Sus scrofa: one gene and its partner. The protein of the gene in region 2 purifies or fractionates together with the protein of the main gene of each other region. This does not show direct contact. Links are inferred from orthologs where the notes say so. Each region holds a gene or a part of one and is shown on either strand. Other genes may lie near its edges.

Evidence for each region.
Region 1: the proteins of PTPN7 (region 2) and MAPK14 purify together in Homo sapiens (affinity purification with mass spectrometry; 3 studies listed by BioGRID and IntAct, with this or other methods). This does not show direct contact. The link is inferred for Sus scrofa from reciprocal best matches to the Homo sapiens genes PTPN7 and MAPK14.

What each region holds. Positions count from the first base shown.
Region 1 is NC_010449.5:31,857,398-31,859,720, forward strand, and holds part of MAPK14 (mitogen-activated protein kinase 14), read left to right. Parts: intron 1-792; coding exon 793-966; intron 967-1,164; exon of another isoform or gene 1,165-1,246; intron 1,247-1,788; coding exon 1,789-1,856; 3' UTR 1,857-2,323. UniProt on the Homo sapiens protein: Serine/threonine kinase which acts as an essential component of the MAP kinase signal transduction pathway.
Region 2 is NC_010452.4:24,333,627-24,337,703, forward strand, and holds the start of PTPN7 (tyrosine-protein phosphatase non-receptor type 7), read right to left. Parts: upstream 2,801-4,077; 5' UTR 1,517-2,800; intron 739-1,516; 5' UTR 469-738; coding exon 410-468; intron 43-409; coding exon 1-42. UniProt on the Homo sapiens protein: Protein phosphatase that acts preferentially on tyrosine-phosphorylated MAPK1. Plays a role in the regulation of T and B-lymphocyte development and signal transduction.

The DNA.
Region 1 (2,323 bases), on a different chromosome or scaffold from region 2:
CCTGGCCCAGGAACTCCTCATGCTGCTGGGCAGCCAAAAAAGAAAAGAAAGAAAAAATACAACATCCATCCATGCACGTGCACACATATATTTAAAAGAGGAAAGGGGGAGTTCTTGTCATGGCTCCGTGGTTAACGAATCCAACTAGGAACCATGAGGTTACGGGTTCAATCCCTGACCTTGCTCAGTGTGTTAAGGATCGGGCATTGCGATGAGCTGTGGTATAAGTCACAGATGCGGCTCAGATCCCGAGTTGCCATGGCTCTGGCGTAGGCCAGTGGCTACAGCTCCGATTCGACCCCTAGCCTGGGAATCTCTATGTGCTGTGGGTGCAGCCCTAGAAAAGACAAAAAAGACAAAAACAAACAAACATAAAAGAGGAAAGGGGAGTTCTCGTTGTGGCTCAGTGATAATGGACCCAACTAGTATCCACGAGGTTCAAGGTTCCATCCCTGGCCTTGCTCAGTGGGTTAAGGATCCAGTGTTGCCATGAGCTGTGGTGTAGGTTGTAGACCCAGCTCAGATCCCTCGTTGCTGTGGCTGTGGCCTAGGCTGGCAGCTACAGTTCCCATTCAACTCCTAGCCTGGGAACTTCCATGTGTTGCAGGTGTGTCCCTAAAAAGACCAAAAAAAAAAAAAAAAAATAAAAGAGGAAAGGAGTAACATCCCAGAATTGAAGGAGAATTCTTTGTTTTGGTGTAAAAGGTCAAAACTGTGTTTTGCTTAATAAAGCATACATTTTTGGCAGTGTGTTAAAAACTCTTTTTTCCTTCCAATCTGCATCACTGATAGCTGTTGACTTGCTGGAGAAGATGCTTGTTTTGGACTCAGATAAGAGAATTACAGCAGCCCAAGCCCTTGCGCATGCCTACTTTGCTCAGTACCATGATCCTGATGATGAACCAGTGGCTGATCCTTACGATCAGTCTTTTGAAAGCAGGGACCTCCTTATAGATGAATGGAAAAGTAAGTCTGAGCATGATGAACACGTAGCTTTAAAAATCTTTGCCAGGTGAACCACAAACCAAAAGCTGTCAGTGGGGGAGGGCAGGGGGGTGGGGGGTGGAGGTGCGGACTCCTGGTTAAATCCAACTTGTTAAACCTTGTCGTTAGGTCTCTAATGCAGAATGAGTATGTTCCTCTGATGGAAACTGTCTGTTGTAGATGATGACACTCTGGACCTTTGAGATGCTTCTGTCTGGTCTGATTTTGTGCACAGCCCCTCACGTCTGCATAGAACTTTGAGGTTCTCAGAATTTTTGCATTTATACCATCTTTCCCAGCTAAGTAGGGGATAGGGTGCATTTACAGTTTTATAATTGATAGAACTTGGGTGAAGAAAGTTAACATCTTAACTGTTACCTTAGACCTAATTAGGGACACAGCCAGAAATAGAACCCAGGTCTCCTGTGCTCAGTTTCATAGTCTCTCCATAAAACACACATTCAGAAAACTCCAGTGAAATTTCAAAAGCCAGGACTATCTGTTGCTACAGCAAATGGGATTACTACGTTATTCTCAAGCATCTTCAGAGAGTTTTAAAGAGGAGGCACTGGATGATTAAAGAAGCAATAAAGGATGCTTCTCTTGTATGTATCCTTGAACTTCTGTGGAATCACATGTTCCATCAGGATATCACACACAAACGGTGAGGCAGTTATTTGAAGTGGCCCATGGAACCACTAGTCTGGACAGGGAGGAAGGATCTTGAGCTTAGAAGTTAGGGTGCTTGCCAACAAAATGAATAGTCCGAACTTTCACGTCCTCCTTTTCCTTCCTGATTTCTAGGCCTGACCTACGATGAAGTCATCAGCTTTGTGCCGCCACCCCTCGACCAAGAAGAGATGGAGTCTTGAGAATCCGGTTTCTGTTCTGCTGATCCCACTTCACTGTGAGGGGAAGGCCTTTTCATGGGAACTCTCCGAATATCATTCAAGTGCCTCTTGTTGCAAAGATTTCCTCCGTGGTGGAAGGGGGGGTGTGTGCGTGCCCATGTGTGTGTGTGTGTCTGTCTGTCTGACTTTGTGGGAGGGTAAGAGATTATGAGCAAACTATGATCACAGTGACTTTACGTGGAGCGACCCCTGCTCCGTGGCAGTCTCTGCTTGTTCTTTGTGAAAGTCAGCTGGGCAGCAGGAGCTGCCATCTTGTTAGGGCTTCTTAAAAGCAAAGTAAAAAATGTTAAACATCCCAGCCCCCAGTCATGCTTTTGCCATTTTGGCCTCTCCTGCGGCCACCCTTGTTGGTAGGGGTTTGGCTTGACCACACCCCGCAGAGGCACAGAAGAAGGCTCGCACCGTCTGTTCGCTTCACATCTGAAGCC
Region 2 (4,077 bases):
AGGGACCGCACATCCAGCATCAGAGCAACGTTGGAGCCTCGCCTGAAGCACAGGAGCCGGCGTCCAGTGACAATCATGATCTGGGGCGGCCCTTAGTCTTCCCCTTGACTCCGAGCTGACACCCCAGCCCTGGGCAGCCAGAGCAGGTAGCTCTGAGCCCAGCTGCTCCCTCCAGCTGCCCCCACTCCCTGTTCCTGGCCTGGCCCCTAAAGTTTGGACCCATATCCAGGCTCAGGGCCCAGATGCAGGGTAGACCTGTGTGCAAGGTTGCCCCACACAGGTAAAGGGCATGCAAGTGACATGCAAATGAGCACATCTGGTTTCCTTTCTAGCCTGGGGTGACAGGATCCAGCTGGAGGGGCAGCAGAGGGGCTGGGGTGGGAAGGCACCCCCCCACCGAAAGTCTCACCTCTCCTGCAGCCTCACGTGCTTCTTGGCTGGCGCTTGGTCAGGTGGAGGCTGGGCCATGGCTGCCCCAGAAGGCGAGGCCCGCAAGTATGCTTTGGGGTGCCCCCAGGGGCCTGGATCATGCTGCGGGGAGGCTGGGCCCAGGGAACACTCACTCGGCCATGAGGTTTGACCTCTGGGCTGACTGACCGGCCAGGGGGGAGGCTCCCAGGCCCAGGCCAGCCTTCTGCCCTCCGGCACCTCTGTTTTCACTGAGTTGTCTTCTGCTCCCCAGGAAGTGGTTGTGTTTTCACCATCGGAAGGCCAGGATCTCTGTGGGGGCCCCCAGGGCTGGGCCGGGTGAGAGTAAGGACGAGAGGGGGATGGAGATGGTGGGTGAAGACAGGAGGGGATCCAGGAGCACAGGGTGGACGGGCTGCCCGAGCCCTAAGCTGGGCCCGGACGGGGAGGCCACGGGCTCTGGGTAGAGGAAGGGCTCAGAGACACCCCCTGGGGTCTCTCCTGGATCAGAGGGTGGAGGCCTCTGGCCACCCTGGAAGCCCTGCGACCCAGGCAGGGGGGCTGCGGGCCCAGCTGCTGGCCATCCCAGGGTCACTGGATCTCTGGGGTCCCTGTCCGAGGAGGCAGGCTGGGGGTGTTTCCTTCCTCCCTGCCCATCCCCCCCATCCCGCCTCTGTAACTGTCACAGGAAATGGCCTCACCAAGCCCTGAGCCACAGCACATGGGGAGGCGACAGCTGGGGGCACCAGAGGGGCCCGGGGGTGGTGGGGCACCCTCCTCTAGGATCCAGTCCCCACTGCCCAGACCAGGTCCAAGTTGGGGTGGGGGTGTTGGGGTCGCGAGCCCATGGGGACAGAGGTGAGGCACGAGCAGCCCTGGGATGAGGGTGGCAGAGGCTCTCGGCAGCAAGAGGGCCCTGCCTGCCCTTGCGCCCCCTGGGCTCCCTGCCTGCCCCCTCAGGGACATCGGCTGGGTCAGCGCCCACTCCCCGGCCGGGCCCATGACCCCCCCGCCCCCTCCTGCACGTCCTCTTTGCAGACACCCTCCCTTCCTGTCTTTGCAGGTCCCCCCACCCTGGCCGGGGACTCCTTCCCCTTCAGGGACTTACTGAAGCAGCTGTGTCCCCAGGCGCCTCTTGCCAGCTGTCTGTCTGTCTGTCGGTCTGTCTTTGAGGGCTGAGAAGCCTTCAGGAAGCCCGCTTCCTCCCTCCGCCCCTCCTCGCTGCCACCCACGCACACCCAGCTGCACGCTGCCACCACCAGGGGTCGGTTGCCTCCTGCCTCTGCCCCTCTGGGGACCGGCTGGCCCGACCCAGCACCTCTGCTACCGGCCCGAGGCCCTGCTCGGTGGAATCAGACGGGGCACAGGGCCCCTGCTAACCACCAGGTTCCTCCCGCGGTGTTGCTCCACCGACCCAGTCCGTCCAGCCCCTGCCCACTTGCCCGGCAGGGCTCTGCCGCCTGCCCCCTGCCGTCCCACGCAGAGCTCCTGCTGCAGCCGTCCTTGGCAGGAGAGTGATTTCCACTTCTTTGCTTCTGCTCGGAGTCCTCACCCTGGAAGCCTCTGCCCCTTCGCGCTGTGGGGGTTCACGCCAGGCACAGGCAGGGTGGGTGCAGACTTGGGGCGGGGAGGCAGGAATCCTCGCTCCGCGAGGGGAAGGCTCAGACCAGGCCCGAAAGGCCATCCCCAGGCTGTGAGCCACACCCCAGCTCTCCAGCTGTCCCTAGTCGGCTCCAGGCCCGCAAGCCTGCAAGCAGGTAGTAGAGAAGCCTTGTAGGCGGGCCCCGGGGGCCTCCCTGGTCCCAGCCCTTCCAGGCCTCCTGCCAGCACCCCAACATCTTCTCAGAGACTCACAGAGAGGGGACAGACTCCGGCTCTCACACCAGGGACACCCATGTCTTCTTGGCTGCTTGGGAGCCCGGTGTCTGGGCCTGAGGGGCAGCCCCCGAGAGCAAGAGCCCGCTGCTCTGGCCTGTCCCCCGCCGATGGCCCCTTGCTGGCCAGCGGCCCTGCCGGCTCCTTCTCCCTGAGCCCCTCTGTCACCTTGAACACTCCGAGCGCCCCTCCCTCGCGGCCCCCAACGATCCCGTCCTCCCCCTCCGCCCACTTCTCTGATTCAGCTGTCAAAGGGTGACAGCAAAAGAGAACTGAAGTACGAGAGGCCCGGGGGTGGGCACCCAGGGGGCGGGGGGGCTCCCTTCTGCTGGCCCAGGGCTCAGGCTGAGATGAGGCCCAGGGCTGCGGGAGGGGACAGGGGTCTGGGACCCCTGATCAACCTGTGCAACGTGTTCTTCCCCACAACGATCCCCCCCACCCCCACCGGCCCTGCCTGCTAGTGTCTCGGAGGGGAACAGGAGGGGTGGGAAAGAGGGCCACCAGCTCCGGCCGATCTGTTGATGGTTATCAAGAACAGGAAGCTAGGGTACCGCAGGGGCGGGAGGAAGCAGGCAGAGCCCTCCCCACATGGCTCTGTCCCCAGGTTCTTGGGGTCTGAGCCCTGGCTGGCTGGAGCCCCCTCCCTCCCAGCGCTTTGAGAGGCTGAGGGTGGAGATCCAGGAAGCCAGAGGCCAGGGGGTGGGGTCGGGGGGGTGGAGGTGGGGAGGGGGCCATGGCTGGGTGCTGGGCATGACCCTAAGGATCTCAGTTTCCTTTGGCTGTGTTAGGGGTGGGGGGATAGTCAGCTTGTCTCTGGCCCCTGCCCAGCCCATCTTGCTTAAAAATGCCAGGTCAGGAGTTCCCGCCGTGGTGCAGAGAAAACGAATCCGGCTGGTATCCATGAGGTTGTGGGTTCGATCCCTGGCTTCGCTCAGGGGATTAAGGATCTGGCGTTGCCAATGAGCTGTGGTGTAGGTCACAGATGTGGCTCGGATCTGGCATTGCTGTGGCTGTGATGTGAGCCGGCAGCTGTAGCTCCAATTCCACTCCTAGCCTGGGAAACTCCATATGCTGTGGATGTGGCCCTAAAAAGATAAATAAATAAATAAATAAATGCCAGGACATCCATGGACATGCCACTGGAGTATGAGCCAGGCCACAAGCCTCAGCCTGGCCTAGGGGCTGGGGACAGCAGACAGCTGCTGTGCTCTCTCCGCAGGGAAGTGACTCCTGTCCCCTGCCTTCCCCAACTAGGGCTGTGGCCCTGCCTCCGATGGCTCTAGCTGCTGCCTTTCCCTCGGAGTTGGGCTCCTGCTGCAGTTGGAAGCTGAGTCTCACTGCCCAGCCCAGGGTCACCCCTCCTCCCTGGGGCTCAGGCTCCTCCCCTGGTTCCTCCCCCCATTGGTCAGAAGGTGGCAGCCGCTGCAGTGTCCGGAGCTGTCAGCTGGAGCAGCGGCTCAGGGGGGCCCGGAGTGCAGGAGCTCCACGTCCCCGTAGACCCCCGTCCTCCTCACACCTCTTCTCTAGCTGCCCTTTAGGGAGAGGCTGCCTGGGCCCCATGGTTACCTCTGGCCCCCCAGGCTGCAAGCCTCAGCTCCCTCTTCCCATGGTCAGCAGCCCTCAGAGGGGCAGGTACACAGGAATTCCTGCAAGTTCTTGTTCCATAGCACCTGGGGAGCGGGCGGGGCTGCTTCCAGCCCAGAATCAAAGGTGACCAAGCTCCTGAGGCCTGGTCCCTGGGGCTGGGCCAGCGGAGGGGGCTCTGCACCCACCCCCCCCAGCCCATGTCCTGCT